3 linked regions of the Arabidopsis thaliana genome follow. The protein of the gene in region 3 interacts with the protein of the main gene of each other region in a pairwise test. Each region holds a gene or a part of one and is shown on either strand. Other genes may lie near its edges.

Region 1 (6,172 bases), on a different chromosome or scaffold from region 3:
AAGTTGTGAATGGTCAGAAGAAAGATCGTTCTTAATCAATATCATAATTGTGATTGGCTCTTCTCAAGATTCGAGGACTAAATTGCATATCAAAAACTAGTAGCAAATAACTTATGAATGTTATTATCTTAAAATAATTGATAGATATGATAAAAGGCCAAATCATCAAAGAGAGGGACGGGTGTTCTTGGCAATGTAGACATTGATTGTGAATCCTTGTCTGCATCTGTTTGTATTCTAAATGTCTATCGAATATAAACCACCAAAATTTCTTCTTCATTTTTGTTTTCGTTCTTGATTTTCTGTCTCGAATTAAAATCGTAGGTTTCTCACTTTCTTGTAACCAACGACACACTTCTGTCATAATAATATGAAAAAATACCTTATGTCTCCAATTTCTATGTCTATTGTTTTGTGTTTGTGGTTCGTACTTATCACTTATGCTAATTATGTTTGGACTTTACACTATGCTCTTCAACACATGTGATAGCTTAATCAAATTCAATTTCCTCGGACAAAAGTAAAATGCCAACAAGCAAAAGAATTACAAATTTTTAACATATATATGAGCCACTTGCCTAATTAAACCACTTGCCTAATATGACTTCACATATATACAAAATTAAAAATGAGCCAACCCGTAAAATTCTCTATTTGGCCCACGAGATTTTTAACCTTTCAACCTCGTTGGTACGGCAGACTGAAGCCGACAGGTCAATTTTCTTTCACATACTAAAAATTAAAAGAACTTTATCAATACTAATCCTATCCATTGGTGGACTAATCCGGATTAATCCACAGACTTCAATCAGTTTCACACTAATTTTTGTTTATCCGTCTGGTTGTTCATCGCTTAGCATTAAATTAAAGATTATAAAGTCTTCAATATCTGAGTGAGTAAAACCCATAAAGCCACTCTCTCAAGTCTCAAGTCATAGAGCTACTAAAGCTATCATCAACTATCTTGGCCAGACTTGTCCATACACATCTTTCTTCGAGTAGCCTCGGTCCCATGACCATGGAACATCTGAAAATCACAATGCCAGTAAAAACGTTAATAACTTGAGAAAGAAAGAAGTTATATTTGCTGGATAATGAATAGGGAAAATACCTTCGGGTGAGTATGGCTTAGGAGGTAGTTGATAAGGAACTGGTAATGAGATTATCTCAGGCAAATCTCGGTCTCCTTGCCAGGTCATTGTCACTAGCTTACTCCTCTTCTCTACCTCGTCTTTCGTCTCTTGTTTTGCCTGTTGACAAAGCACAATTAAGAGGGAAAGATCACAGTTTGTGTCCGGGTTTACAGGTTTTGGAATTTTAGATCTTCTTACCTTCATAACACTCGGGTTGCTCTCAGTGCACGAAAATACACAACCCTGTGTTTTTATTGGAGATGGTAAAAACAAGACGCCCAACTAACAATATTACAGTCAATGGAATGTAGTTAGTGGTTACAAAGATCAGACTTTGATACATGAAAACACAGGTTTTGGAATTTTACCTCGTAGGAACGAATCATCAACTGTGAATTGTTCTTCTGAAGTGCTCCCCAGGCCGCTTTGCTAAGATTCGATGAGGTTAGTAAGAACCATCTGTGGAAGCAAAACAAGAACATTAATCACAAAAGGTACTAACAGAGCAACTACAGATTGAGACTTGATGAACTTTACGCAATCTTCTGGTCGTTGTAACGTGTGAACGTCTTTATATGTGGCATGGCACGACTGTTACATTAAAAAGGATCAGAATTGAGTAGTACTCATAAGTTGGATTTGTAAAGGTTTGGTTTTTCTAAATTACCCGCGAGCGCTATGATCCGCTTTCCATCTAGCCCAATACTTTTTCAAGAATGGTTTCTCCACGTTCTTCAATGGGCTCGGAATTGCATTGCCAGCAGCATAACCCTTTGGTTTGAAGATTTCACGGTTCAGAAGAAAAATCAATAATCTATATAAGAAAAGATGTAATCATTGTGCGGATAACCTCTAAAGAACATCTGACGTCTTCTACTGTAGGCCATATTATCAACGAATCCCCGGGACCGAGAGGAGTTTTGTCCTCTGTTATACCAGAAGACAAAGAATTTCCAAACTCAGCCAACCACTTCTCGTCTAAAGAACCAAGTGAAGAAAACTGCAATACGGAATAATTATAGAAGAAGACTTTTTTACAAGTAATACAATTGCAAAAAGAGAACTTGGAATGGAACATTACCTGATAGATTAGCGGGGATCTGCGGAACTCTCTATCGAAAATGCATTCTTGAAGAATAGTCCGTAGCTTCATGTGTCCCCATTTGTTCAAGTTAAAACCAGTGTGGTATCCAGGGACTGAAGCAATTAGTCGAACCTTAAAATTTGTTGCATATTATTAGTACACAAATAAGTATATAAATCAACCAAAAGAGTTTAGAGAAATAGAAAGTACCGTAGCATCAGAATAATCAAACTTTTTGAAGAAGGCTGCATTGATCTTGACATTACCACGGCCAGGTAAGTTTGCAGTAAACTCAGGCCACTTAAGAACATTGAGGTAATCAATGAGATCACCTTCGAATCCACAACCTTTAGGTGGATCTTTGTCATCATCTTTCCAAGGAAAATCTTGCATCCACAAACCTTGGCTTTTGTTATTCCAATCAACATGGATCAGATTCGCGGTGTGTACTACAACTCTCACCCCTCGAGGATAGACAAGAAATATAGCCTTCGAATGGTGTGTCCCGAATGAAATAGGTAACCGAGGCTTATGAAGAATCCAATTAGCTGGCTTCTTCCTCTGTTAAACAAAACAAATATTGGAGATTTTTAGTCTACCATAAACATCAATCAAAAGAAATGAGCAAAAACTGTCATAACAAACCTGAATATACTCTTGCCTACCATCACCTTCTCCATGAATAACCATAACCTGGGGAATGTTGGCCAGTTTTGGGCAAGCTACAAAAGGATATATGCAAATTACCAACTTCAGCTAACAGACTCGAGAAAATCGAAAAACAACACCCCCATGAATGTAAACAAAAGAACTAATCATTTGGACAAACTCAACACAGAAGATTATGAGAAAACTCACCTGACATCAACCAGTCTATATCAACCATATAATTCGATAAGATCGCAGCAACAACGTCTCCCTGTCATTTACAAATACAATCTTTAGCAATGATATCTGAACAAAACAAATGAAATAATATGCTTAGCATGAGACTAACCTCAATGACATCATTAATGGAAACACAAGAAGTATTAGCCCAATCAGGCAATGCATCAACACTCAAAAGCCGAAATGTTGAAGGTAGTTTCTCATTAGGTGGACAAAAACGACGAATGGCCTCTACATCGTCTTCAGCCTAAAACAGTTCCATCACATCAAACAAAGCCTCAAAGAAACAACAAAAAAAGCAACATTCTTTGGTTAAGCCAAATAAGTTACCTTTCGAGCTTTCTTAGCAGCTCTTCCATTGAGCAAAACTAGCTTGAAGAAATGGTGACCAGGGATCAATTCAATAAGATCATCATTACATACTGAAACCTCTTCACTAGGTTTCACTTTCTTTCTCTCTCCGTCACCGGAAGACCTAATAACAACCGGATTTGTTCCGTCCTACCCAAAAGACACAAACTTGACATGATTCAATTCGATAAGAAGCCAAAGTTATAATTTTTAATGTTGTTATAGTTATTACCACTGACAACGAAGCTGAGCCAGAAGTGGAAACGATAATGGTGATGTGTTTGCGACTGAGACGCTTATCGACGATTGAAACGTTGCCACGGCCAATGATGTTTGGACCTTCGGATAAAGTTATCCTTGGAGATGAATTGTCTTCCTTTAAATCTGCTTTCAATGGAATCAAATAAGCAACCTGCAACAGATACATAAATCAGAGCAAGACATCGAATTTTCTGTAATTGGAAGAAACGGAAATTAGGGTTTTGTTTTGAATTACCTGAGAGTGAGCCATTAAGGAAGACAAGTGTCTGAGGTTGAATTGAACCAAGGAAGAAGAAGAAGATGCAAAACGCTGCGTTTCAGTGAACTAACTAGCGAAAATTTTGGGATGTTTCAATGGAGAATAATGGGCAAGAAATTCATAGTAACGGTAACGGTTCTCCACGCCGGCGGCGACAATCAGACAACCGCATCATCATCAGCCGATGGGTCTTTGGCTTGTGAAGTTGTACAATATATTAATTTAAGAAACATTGTCATCAAAGTCTGGGTGGTGTAGTCGGTTATCACGCTAGTCTCACACACTAGAGGTCCCCGGTTCGAACCCGGGCTCAGACATTTTTTTTTCTTCATTTTTTTCAATTGACACGTGTCCGAACCTTGCCCAAAAATAATAGTATGATTAACATATTTTATCTTCCCATTACGTTGAAATGTTACAATCGAATATTCGAATGAGTGTGATTGGAATTGGATGAACATGCAGATTGTTACGTGGACAAAATAATTGTGATCAAGTCCAAAGATTAAACAATGTAGTTTAACTCCAAAGAGTTTGTAAGATAAAGGATATTGATTATATTATGTTAATCAAATTTTTAAGATGTATTATTTTGTTCTCCTACCGTATTATTGTCACTTTTCAGTTGCGAAGTCAAATGTCACAAGCAATATTGTTCATTGTTAATCCTCCTACCTACCAGTCATTGTCTACGTGTAAATTAGATAGCTATGGACGGCTTGTGTTCCATTCTAATTGTTATACGTATAATATAGTTTTTTCTTGTGGTTTACTTGTCGATTTCAAGTTAGTTATCGACAAATTACCATTATTCGTTATCAAGTGTTTTCTTATTCGTTACAACACCTAGTTGACGAAAAGATCTGAATATTGCCAAATTTCAAAAACTTATTAAGTTTGTGTTGGTTATTTTTTTCATTGTTTAAAATCATTGGCACCCTTTTTCTGGTGTAAATAGTAATAAACATCAACGAAGACGATAAGCCATAAACAAAGGACAGCTATATATATTCCACAAACAACAATATAAAATTCAACAAATTTACAAAAAATTCCTATATCTTTGTCTTTAAAATTCAATGATGTAACCACGAACACTTTGTATTTTTGTATTTCAACCTTAAACTATAGTACTAACAAGTTCCGTGACATTATTACATAAGCACGTTAGTATAAATAACAACAACAATATTAACTCAATTAGTATCATCGATCATCTGTCAAAAAGAGGAGCTAATAATAATATGGCTGCTTTGAAGATGACTATCTCTTGTTTCTTGTTTCTTCAAGTAATATATTGCTTGCTCTCTTCATTTGCTCCAACAAATGTGCAAGGATTGAAAGTTGGATTCTACGACAAGGCATGCCCCAAAGCCGAGCTTATTGTCAAAAAGTCTGTCTTCGAGGCTGTGAAGAATGATCGGACAATTGCAGCTCCTTTGCTCAGGATGTTCTTCCACGATTGCTTCGTTAGGGTAATGTCCTTTCTTGACATCCTGAATTTTCCTTTTAGTCTTTTTGACACCTTGTGATCTAATGATTGAATCATGATGTTTTAGGGATGCGAAGGGTCGGTATTGCTAGAGCTAAAGAACAAAAAAGATGAGAAAAACTCAATTCCTAACCTCACCCTTCGAGGATTTGAGATCATAGACAATGTCAAGGCAGCTCTAGAAAAGGAGTGTCCGGGCATTGTTTCTTGCTCTGATGTATTGGCTCTTGTCGCTAGAGACGCAATGGTTGCGGTAAGTATAAATTCTTACTATCATGTGATCTAATATTTGGTCAGAGCTCACGGTGTCTTTATTACACGCTCCTTGTATTTATTACTACAAAGTTCACATGGCGATTATAGACATCATAAATAGGGTTGGGCGTATTCTTCTATTTTTTTGATGCTACAAAATGCACTTGACTTAAATTTTCAAGAGACTAGTTCAGCTTTCTATCTGAGATTTTCTGACTAATATATTAAAGAAAATATATCCATAAAAAAAATTATGTATTATATGTTGTGTTGAACTTTTAACATCATGTATTTTATGATAACCAATCAATATATGTTCAGCTCAATGGACCGTCGTGGGAGGTTGAAACGGGACGAAGAGACGGTCTGGTTACAAACATCACTGAGGCCTTATTAAACTTACCATCACCATTTAATAATATCAGTAGCCTTATCACTCAATTCCAGTC
Region 2 (5,365 bases), on a different chromosome or scaffold from region 3:
TGCACAGACCAACCAATGATCATTGGCAAGCTGCAAAACGAGTTCTTAGATATTTGGCTGGAACTACGACTCACGACATTTTCTTTGCTGCTCAAAACGAGCTCTCCCTTCATGCCTTTTCAGATGCAGATTGGGCCGGAGACTCAGAAGATTGCGTTTCAACAAATGCTTACATCGTTTACCTCGGGAAAAATCCAATCTCATGGACTGCCAAGAAACAAAAGAGCGTTGCAAGGTCTTCAACAGAAGCTGAATATCGATCGGTGGCAAATACTGCTTGTGAAATCCAGTGGATATGCAGCCTTCTCACGGAGCTTGGGATCACACTTCCCAAACCGCCTGTGGTCTATTGTGATAATGTGGGTGCTACTTTCCTTTGCGCAAACCCGGTTTTCCATTCCAGGATGAAGCACATAGCCATAGACTATCACTTTATTCGTGGACAAGTTCAGCAAGGCATTCTTCGTGTGGCTCACGTCAACACTAGAGACCAACTCGCTGATGCATTAACAAAACCGCTTCCTCGAAATCACTTCACGGAACTTCGAGACAAGATTGGAGTGTGCATAGCCCCTCCATCTTGAGGGGGCGTGTTAAGGATACATAGGATCATCTCTCTTTAATATCATAATATTCCTCTGTCTCCTTTATGGAACATTCTATATTTGTACAACCCTAGTGTAACCTCCTCTGTACTTGTATATATACTTGTGTAAAGCTATTCGTATAATATAAGTCATTACATTCTTAACAAGATTAACTAACTAATATTTTCATTTTTTGGTTGATAATCAATGATTCCATGGCATGCACGCACGAAGTCATGTGTTGTCTCTACAATGGCAGCCACTTAAAAAACCTACCAAACCATTTACAAATGCTTAACTACAATTTTGTTTAGCAGCCCCCTTATCATATATGTACCCACCCATTTATTGTTTCATTCATTCATGTGGCTCTTCAGCATAACTGCAAGATACTAGAGGCCACAAATTGCAGTAATTTGTATTTTGGAGTTAATACCTTTGATTTAGGACACTAATTATCTCGAGCACTTGATCAGCCAATCTAAAAGGTTGTCAAATCAAAATAATAGAAGTGTCGAAATCAAAATCAGACCAAAACCATCAATTTTTTTGCAATAGCAAGAAGAATTCAAAATTTGCTGGACCTGGACCAGTCTAATCTTTATGTCATATCATTAGCTCTTGTCGTCACCATATATTATAAATCATTTTGTTGGTAAATAAATGAAAAAAAAAAACTTTTCGACCTTTCTCCATCAAAGACCTTTTACAAAATTCCAAACCCAAAACTTTAGGTTAAATTCCTCGCTCCAGCCAGTATGTAATTACGTAAGCAACTATCAATTAAATATACAACTCAATTCACAATCATGAAGATAACTCGAATACAACGTGTTTTAGTATCATTTATATTTCGTAAGGAAAATAAGCTTACCGTTTATTGCTCAGACTGTAACGTCACGTGCCCACATGTTTGACCTTACACTCCATCACAATCTGCATTTCGAAGAATCCGATAAGATTGGAAATGATTTATATAATCGAACCACATTGTGGAACATTCAAGAGGAATCCACATTAGACAATCTAATAAACTGTTTAATATTTTGAAAAGAAAGATTTTACATGCAAATGGAAAACAAAGATCTCCGCGTCTCAAGTTATTTGAAATCTCATTTTGCATATGGTCGGTTATTACCGTTGACTTTTAACTTTATCGTCCATCCCAATGAAACAACACTTGAAATATGTAAAAAAAATAGCAAAATTGACCCAAAAAAAAGAAGGACTTAACGGATCAGTGATTATTTTCTTCGAGGCAAAACAATTACATGCAAATGGAAACAAAAGCCAATTCACACGCATAAAAGTCACAATTTTTACCTTATAATATTCCTACAACTTAAAATAACATAAAAAAAAATGTCTTTATCGAAACATCACTAAAGAAAAAGAAATCTCTCTATAGTCTTTATCTTAGTATTTAATTTCTCCATCTTCCTTATGATCCATTATGCCCAAAGTCCTTCTTCTTCTTCTCTATAATTACTTCCACAAATAGAAGAAGAAGAAGAAGAAGAATAATATAGAAAAAAAGAGAGCTTCTCTTCTTATTTCTTTCTCACAGGAAATGGTGTTTGGTTGGAGAAAAGCGTTTTGCACTTCCGTTTCAAGTAATCAAGATAAACCTCAACAACATTCATCATTACACACTACTGATCCTCCAATTCCCACACCAAGATTCCGATCAAAGTTTGGTTTTTTATCCAACCCTTCAACTCCTCGTCTCCGATCACGCGGCGGAAGCGGCACTGGATGCCGCTCCTCAGCTTCCACATCAGTCACTATCCCATCTCTTCCAACTAGTCCCAAACTCCATTGCAGGACTACGAGCAATGCTACTCCAAGGACTAGTAACAGCTCAAGTCCCAAGTTTTTCTCTAACCCTTCTTCTCCTAAATCATCATCTTCTTCTTCCTCTCAAGGCGGCGGCGGCGTCTCTCTCCTCCGTGCCACGCTTCTTCTCAACAAGGTAGTTACTTTTGATTCAATCAAGTTCTTAATTTGAAAGACATAATCTAAAGCTCCGTTTTGTGTGTGTGTGGATGCAGAGTAATAGTAGTAGATGTGCGATTTGTTTGCAGAGAGTGAATTCAAATCAAAGCAACTCGACGGCGGCAATTTTCACGGCGGAGTGTTCACATTCGTTTCACCTTTCTTGCGTCAATGGATTAGAAGACAAGCGTTGTCCGTTTTGCTCTGCCGCATGGAATCACGCGCCAAAGTCGAATTATCCGGCTGTTAATAATAACTTCGGATCCGACCCGATTAGACGACCCGAGATCCGAGAGATCAAAACGGGGAAGTCACTGAGAGTGTACAACGACGATGAGCCGTTAGCTTATTCGCCGGTTTCTCTTGCTCAGATCAACACTATACATGAATCAGACGAAAACGACGACGTTGAAGATGACGATGACTTCCCCGGATTCTTCCGAGATTCTTCGATTACGTCTGATATGGTTCCTTCAATCTCAGGAAATCTGGAGGTTAAGTTGCTGCCGGAATCTGCCGTTGTGGAAACCGGGAAAAAGAAGGAGACACACGTCGTCATCATGAAACTAAAAGCGTCTCCGTCGCCGTCGTCCATCACCGATGCGATTAAGGCGCGAAGACCATCGATAGATCTGGTAACGGTTCTCGATTTAAGCAACGGCGGTGCTAATTTGCAAACGGTTAAACACGCGATGAGATCGGTGATCTCTCTTCTCCGAGAAATGGATCGTTTATCGATCGTCGTTTTCTCGACGGGGTCAAAACGGTTAATGCCGTTACGACGAATGACGGCGAAAGGAAGACGATCGGCGCGGCGAATGGTCGACGCACTCGGCGGAATGGAAACCACCGGCGGAGTTGGAATGAGCGTTAACGACGCGTTGAAGAAAGCGGTTAAAGTCGTTGAAGATCGGCGGGAGAAGAATCCGTCAACGAGCATCTTTGTTTTATCGGACGGTCAAGATCAACCGGAGGCAGTTTTGAAAGCTAAACTAAACGCAACGCGCATTCCGTTCGTCGTGTCTACCACGCGTTTCTCTCGTCCGGAGATCCCGGTTCATTCCGTTTACATTGCTTCTCCTGGAGCGTTGCTTCACGCGCCGCTACGAGACGCGTTCACCGAAAGAATCGCTTCGTTGCTCAACGTGACTCTCCATAACGTGAAGCTAAATCTCAGTTTGGTCAACGGATCTCATTTGACTGAGATTTCATCGGTTTACTCTTTAACCGGTCGACTCGAGAATTTCGGATCCGGTTCTGTCATCCAAGTCGGAGATTTGTTTGCGGAGGAGGAGAGAGAGTTTCTCGTTGAGCTCAAAGTGCCGACTTCGTCGAGTGGTTCCCACCAAGTAATGTCCGTACAGTCGTCGATCGTTGACCAAATGACACATCAGCCAATGACATGTCCTAAAGAAAAACGATTTTTGATCCCACGGCCACAATCCGTCAGATATGTATCTTCAAGCATCGAACGGCTGAGAAATTTACACTCCATGTGCCGCGCTGTAGCGGATTCACGCCGGCTTATCGAGCGTGAGGATTTATCCGGAGCGTATCAGGTTCTAACGACGGCTCGGTCCAATGCGTCTCATTCGGATGATAGTTTAAGGAGTTTGGAGGTTGAGCTAAATGAACTTAGCCGGATTAAACCGAGAAATAGTATATTAAACCGAACTGAAGATAAACCGGAGCAGCTTACCCCTACTTCGGCTTGGAGAGCCGCCGAGAAATTAGCTAAAGTGGCTATTATGAGGAAGCATTTAAATCGAGTCAGCGATATGCACGGCTTGGAAAACGCCAGATTTTAATTTTAATTTCCCTTTTTTTCGAAAATTCGATTTCAATGATTTTTGAATATATAATGGTACATAATTTATATAAGGAGGATAAGCAATAATTTAGTAAGGTATAAATAATAGAAGTATGATTATTCAGAAAAAGACCCACATAGGTGCATGATAGCGACAAGCAGTAGCCGACGGGTGTGGCCTTTTGTATTGCAGAGAGATTGAGACCCTACATTAGAAGGAATTAATTGGTCTTTTAGCATTTTTATCTTCTTCTTCCTTTTTGTAATCTTCAAAAACTCCAAATTAATGACTGAATAGTTAAAAAAAGTTGTAGATCAAATAAATGAAGTCTGCTTTTTTTGTGTACTATATAGAATTAAAAGTTGAGGTATAGTGGATTAGAGAGTGTGCTTGTAATGCTGGACTTCAAAATCAAAAGTTAAGTTTATATTATCATATGCCGTTTAACTTAAGAGGATCTATAATATATTATATCTTTCCAAATGAATGATCATGATTAGTCATGTGATCATCATTATAGCCTATTTTGTTATAGAAGGCACCGGGTTTGAATGATTTGAATAGTGCGTGGGGATTGTCTTTGTTGGTTGTTGGTGAATGGTTTGGTGGGTGCACCGTGGTAGAAACCAGGTCATGCGCCGTTGCAAAGCTTTCTTCTCGCTTAAATTCATTCATTTTATATCATTAAGACATTTACTAATTATATGTAGCTAGCGCCAAGTTGCAATTTGTTTTGAATGCAATGATTTTGTATACTTTTAAAATGGATGAAATGATTAACTATTGTCAAAGGTCCACTTCTCGATGTGATTCACTAAAATGATCAGTGGCAGAAGAATCTCGAACTATATATATGGTCAAATCATAACTAAAAAAACTAAGCTATTATTTTTTCACAAAAAAAAAAACTAAGCTATCATTCATCACGCAGTTACATATTGCATATGGACAATGTTAATGTCAACTAATGAA
Region 3 (5,389 bases):
CACTGTTTTTGATCCAACAAAGGCCTTTATTTTCTTCCAATCCCGGTCAAATCTGCAATCAAATAGACATGATCATATCAGAAGAAGAAGAACAAATCTCAAAGATTCTATATATCATTAATCAGATAAATGAAGGCAGAGAAGTGAAATCCGTGTCAACATACAGATGAAGGGCTTCAAGGAACTTGTCGTGTTCTTGCTCCGTCCAGTTCTCTCTAGATTTGGTGATAGTGTAAGGCTTTCTAACCTTCTTTGTTGGATCCTCAAAAAACGACATCGTCCTATTGCTCCGTATGGAAACCGGTATCGTTGTTGCCGTGTGGGGAAGAGTATTGAAACCCGGTAGACTCATTTTCATAGGCAAACAATGAGCTTGGCTAGGGTTTACAGTCACCATAAAACTCGACAACACACACAAAGTTCCCTTTTGGTTTGAAACAGAGTTTGTGACTTGAGAGACTTGTGTGAGAGTGGTGGTGGTATAAGCGGGAGAGGGAGACAAGGTTAGAAGTGTAATCTCATTCGAAAAATGGATTTAAGCCGAACACGTGTAAGGAGCCGGTTGCTCTGGTTCAGAGCGTGGGACTAACAACTACAAGCCATGTGGACATTCTCCTAACACTCATGCCACGTACAAATTTAAATCCACGGCACATAAATTGCCACGTGGAATACGATCGTAAGCCAGCAATCTTATTTACGAGATAGCTGCCTAGCTGGGGCCTGGTTCGACTAAAAATGAAGGTTACTTTCTTTTGTAGTTTAGCTCAAATTTTAGTTATGTACGATGATGTGTTTTATGTACGATGATCTCTAAAACACAAACGCAGCATATACAAATACAATACACACACCTATTTCAAACTACTAACCAAACACACAATGCTTTCGAGTTCATCACGACCAGACCCAGAAAACAACAACAAACGTCCCTCTAAGACAAGCTCATCGGATGTTTCTGCAAACCGAGAATAAATAAAAAGAAACAATGATTACAGATATAAGTTGGTTGATACCAACTACACAACACACGACACAGTCTCGAAACACAAAAATTGGGTGTCTCTGTTTTTCGTCTGTGAATCCTAAGGATGTTAAAGTAACAAAAGTAATTAAAAGAGAGAAACTCACAAATGGAGAGACTCTGTTTTTCTTTTTAATCGATCCAACGTGTGATACCATCGTCTCCTACCATTGCCAATATCTCCACACGAACGTCCAACACCGCCTGCAACATTCATTACACAAATTATTTCTGTTTTCCAAGAAGTAGGGTTTTTCAATTTCGGGCCATTTTCTGTAAGGACAGAGACTTACAGAGGAATTCCTGCAGTTAACAAGCCGACATTCGTCCAGAGAACCTTCTAGACTCCAACTCTCCCACACGTCAAAACTATGGCTAGCAAACACAAACTCCATTCTTCTATTGATCTGCACACACACACACCCATGACACAACCACTTTTAGATTCCATAAGAGCAACATTGAGTTACCAATGGAAGTAACACTCTCTAATGTAAGAGCTACCTGCAGTAACTTCCCACCAGCAGCAAATGATCTCAGACCAACAGTGTCCTGGAAAACAAGTTCATGCACCAAAACCAATTTATAATGGTCTATCTGGCATTGTAAGCAAGATAAATGAAAAGTAAGAGAGAGAAAAAGGTTTACCTTGTTTCTGTATGCGATAATGAATTGTGCAGCAGGATCTCGTTTGGATACATTGGACAAAGTATCGAGGAACCAGCCACCGTTTTTCGTTCTTTGCCTGGAAACGTGGAGGCCCGAGAGGTCTTTCGCATACAAGGCTACTACATATCCATCTTTCAGTAGCTCACTTGACTTTCCAATGAACTTCTTACTTGACATTACAAGCTGATTTGGGGAAGACTCTTGCATTACTTCAAGAGGTGTTTTCCTACTTCTGGAATCTTCAGGAGAAGCACATCTAGAACTGGAACTTAATACTTCTTCTGTGTCACTCATAGCAATATCATCTCTTCGTGAAGTACTTTCTTCATTTAACCCTGAGGAACCATCCGTTTTTTGCATGTATTTTTGCTGTGAATGTCTCTTTTTGGCTTTCTTACCGGATCTGCTACGTCTTCCTTCAGGTTTTACGGCAGTATTTTGAGAAACGTGTTGCTGACCAGGGCTCAGAGATTCTTTTAACTCACTAGCCTCTCTACGTACGATCTCAGTGCTGGTGAGAGTACTTTCTCCCTGTTGCCTACTGGTGGATTCCACTATTGCTAATTTCTCGTGTTTGCTAGGTGATTGTTCTTCTTCTTCACTTGCTTCACTTTCCTCAACTTCCTCATCAGAAACAGTGTTACTTGGAATTACACCATCTAAGAAAAATGAATGCAAGATAGAGATAGCCTTCTCCCTTATCTCCATCCATACTTCCTCACTGTAATCTGCACTGCGAGGTAGAATTAACACATTTGGCATTTCCTTCACCTGCAATGAAAACAAGATATAATGGATGCAGGATAAACAACAGAAGAAGATGATGAAACAAGAGAATAGGCAGGCGCAAATGTGAAGTTTAGTCACTGGAAAAGAAAGTCATACCCATGCTTCCATCCATTGTGGACCTTCAGCACCGTCAAGGGCGCAGCCAGCTATAGTGCCATCAATTAGAAGTTGTTTCACAGCACAATCATCCAACAGCTGGCAGCTTCCAGTATTTACAAGAAAAGCCCCTAATACATAAAATCAACCAGAATTGAAGGGAATGCGAGAAAGCAGAAGTTCATCTTCAATTCACATTCATGGAGAATCAAATTTCATTTGACAAGAAAACTCATACCAGGTTTTATATGCTGCAAACACTCTGCATTGAGTATCTGAACCGTGTCATTTGTTAATGCACAATGTAGCGAAATGACATCACTTGCTGCTAGAAGATCATTCAATGTATCCATTCTTCGAGCAGCACGTGGGAATCTCGAGGGCCTGATTCGTTCTTCATCTCCCTGAACAGACGCAAACGCAACTATTGACAACAAATATAACATCCAAGGGAGAGGAACTTGAAAGAGAGCCATCATAGTAAGCAGTTTAGGAATGTAGTAGCTAAGAACTCAGCACTTTTTTTGGTCCCTAAAGAGTCAGTTTACACTAAGATATTAAAAGCTTAGCGAGACATTGCCAACAAACATACCTCTGGGACATCGAAGTAGAGCACACTCATCTTGAAAGCCAAGCTTCTACTAGCTAAATACCGAGCCGATACAGATCTGCCAACGATACCCAAAACCATACCACGGCACCGTCTCATTCCCCGGCAAAGAGGCTGAAGCGATCCGAGCCAACCAGACGCCGATAGAGCGTGTCGCGAGAGTAAATGCGTCCGTCGAAGGAGTCCAAGGATGAGCGCCATGACGGTATCCGCGATTTCCTCGGCTCGTGAAGTATCTACATGGACAAGTCGGAGACCTAGGTCGGCGGCGAGAGTCGAATCGACAGCGCGATCAGCAGAGCCAAGGCAGAGAATGAGCTGGTGAGGACGGAGTCGGCGTTGAGCTGCTCGTGGAAGATACGCGAGGGAATGGAGGAGAACGGCGGTGGCGGACTCGATCTTACCATCGGCGATGCGGCTGAGCGGGACGTATTCGACACCAGCAACGCCGGCGAGGGAGTCTTGCTCGAGCGCACAATCCTCTATACAGTTGAGTGTAACGACGTGAGGCGACGCCGGTGACGGCTGGTCGCGATGTGGCATTGTCGCAGACGAACGGATCTTGCTCATCTCCTCCTTCTTCTCGCTACTCTCGAGGAGTGAAATTTTGATTTTGGGAACATAATGATTTAGGGTTCAATGTTGTAAACTCTTACAAAATTAAGGGGCTAAATTTCATTTATAATAATTTTCAGGGCCCAAAATACAATTTAAACAAATTGACAATAATTTTTTAGTCCAATGCTCATGCTCCCCCGATAAGACGTCATCGGTTTGACATTTATGATAAACGACGCCGTCTTCCACTTGGCTTGTTGTAATAATTTAATTTACTAATTGCAAACAGATACTGAATACAGGTGAAACATGTACATTCCCTATTCCACATTATTTCCTGACCAGAAACCGAAAGACAAACTCCAGCGTTTGACAACAACAACAATAACACGAAATCTCTTTCTACACAAGAGCAACGACATAGACAGACTTGAGAAAAGAAAGAACAAAAGAACATGACTGGAGCAAGATGGGAACTCTCTTTTGTGCTACTAAAGTATATGAACAGAGCCGAATATATATATATATTCAAAAGGACACAAACAGGTGAAAACCAAAAGCTCTATACATCTATCTACCAAAATTCTATCTCTTTTATAACCCACTACGTTACCGACATTCTTAGTAGATCTCGAAATGTCTAAGTGGGTTTTTAGTTTATGGTAGGTGATGATCAGAGAAACCTCCTACGAAGGTTACTAGTTGTTGCTTGATACGAACGCATGAGTAATCCAACTCCAATGCCTACACCAAGACACATCCCAAGGCCTATCCCAACTCCGACTCTGACTCCTGCATTGAACCATGAGAGCTGACCATCCTCATCAACGTACATTCCTTCAGGGTAATATCTCTGTGCCATTTTCATATCTGAGTCATCGTATTCATCAACTTCTGATTCCATCATCTGCATAAACGAAACGACAAACAAGATAAAGCACCAAAAAAAGTGCAAAGAGAGTCTATTGACCTATATCCATATCTCAATTTCTGATCAGTCAACAATTCTACAATTTTCAAATTCAGCTGTAGAGTCAAAGAAAACATTCAAGCAGGAGCTAAATTCACCAGAAACTTGCGAGTGATCTTAATAACTAAATATCTGCTACAGCATTCATAACTCACAAAACTAGACGAAAGAAGCAACCTTTTCAAATCTCAATCCCAAGTTATTAAGAATCGTAACTTAAGGGCTTGGACAATCACCAAACAGAGAATTGTGAAATCAGAATCATACCTGTACTTTGCTTTGACGGGCCAATTCATCACCAATGGTACCAATGTCTTGCTCTTTGCCAACTTCCTCATCCTCAGGGATAGCGTCGAGTGTCACGTGCCTAGCCACCTTCCTCCTCGGACTCGCCTGAATCGTCTTGGTCAATATCACCGGGACACCACCACAACAACCAGCTATATAAACCTCGACGGACGGAGACGAGACTCCAAACTTTGGCTGGAAAAACACAGAGGCAGAAGGACCTGACACGTGTCCGTTTCCCATAGCAATGTAACAATCCATGCCCCATCCAGTCTTGGGATCACTCACAGTTCCATTGTTCCAAGCACCTTCGATTCTATCTAGGTTCCCACACAAGACCATATCCTCGTTATCATAAACCTCGAAATCAACGCATCCGGTAACG

The links. Proteins that work in one complex are often made in the same cells at the same time.
Region 1: the proteins of AN (region 3) and TDP1 interact in a two-hybrid assay, tested with the Arabidopsis thaliana proteins (one large-scale study listed by BioGRID).
Region 2: the proteins of AN (region 3) and WAVH2 interact in a two-hybrid assay, tested with the Arabidopsis thaliana proteins (one large-scale study listed by BioGRID).

What each region holds. Positions count from the first base shown.
Region 1 is NC_003076.8:4,925,341-4,931,512, forward strand, and holds TDP1 (tyrosyl-DNA phosphodiesterase-like protein), read right to left. Parts: upstream 4,163-6,172; 5' UTR 3,968-4,162; coding exon 3,953-3,967; intron 3,869-3,952; coding exon 3,689-3,868; intron 3,607-3,688; coding exon 3,436-3,606; intron 3,353-3,435; coding exon 3,215-3,352; intron 3,137-3,214; coding exon 3,076-3,136; intron 2,940-3,075; coding exon 2,863-2,939; intron 2,779-2,862; coding exon 2,428-2,778; intron 2,350-2,427; coding exon 2,215-2,349; intron 2,134-2,214; coding exon 1,984-2,133; intron 1,905-1,983; coding exon 1,801-1,904; intron 1,725-1,800; coding exon 1,671-1,724; intron 1,593-1,670; coding exon 1,502-1,592; intron 1,416-1,501; coding exon 1,332-1,415; intron 1,251-1,331; coding exon 1,112-1,250; intron 1,028-1,111; coding exon 960-1,027; 3' UTR 510-959; downstream 1-509. Other genes in the region: AT5G15180 (Peroxidase superfamily protein), read left to right, coding at 5,221-5,451, 5,536-5,721, 6,045-6,172. UniProt on the Arabidopsis thaliana protein: DNA repair enzyme that can remove a variety of covalent adducts from DNA through hydrolysis of a 3'-phosphodiester bond, giving rise to DNA with a free 3' phosphate.
Region 2 is NC_003076.8:26,259,315-26,264,679, forward strand, and holds WAVH2 (Zinc finger (C3HC4-type RING finger) family protein), read left to right. Parts: upstream 1-1,821; 5' UTR 1,822-2,157; coding exon 2,158-2,559; intron 2,560-2,638; coding exon 2,639-4,390; 3' UTR 4,391-4,856; downstream 4,857-5,365. UniProt on the Arabidopsis thaliana protein: Probable E3 ubiquitin-protein ligase involved in the regulation of root growth. Acts as a positive regulator of root gravitropism.
Region 3 is NC_003070.9:185,604-190,992, reverse strand, and holds AN (NAD(P)-binding Rossmann-fold superfamily protein), read right to left. Parts: upstream 3,849-5,389; 5' UTR 3,759-3,848; coding exon 3,171-3,758; intron 2,983-3,170; coding exon 2,817-2,982; intron 2,710-2,816; coding exon 2,579-2,709; intron 2,465-2,578; coding exon 1,673-2,464; intron 1,577-1,672; coding exon 1,529-1,576; intron 1,432-1,528; coding exon 1,318-1,431; intron 1,229-1,317; coding exon 1,157-1,228; 3' UTR 521-1,156; downstream 1-520. Other genes in the region: ASG4 (Homeodomain-like superfamily protein), read right to left, coding at 1-52, 165-397; AT1G01500 (Erythronate-4-phosphate dehydrogenase family protein), read right to left, coding at 4,420-4,653, 4,984-5,389. UniProt on the Arabidopsis thaliana protein: Involved in controlling the equilibrium between tubular and stacked structures in the Golgi complex. Required for cortical microtubules (MTs) arrangement that confers cell shape.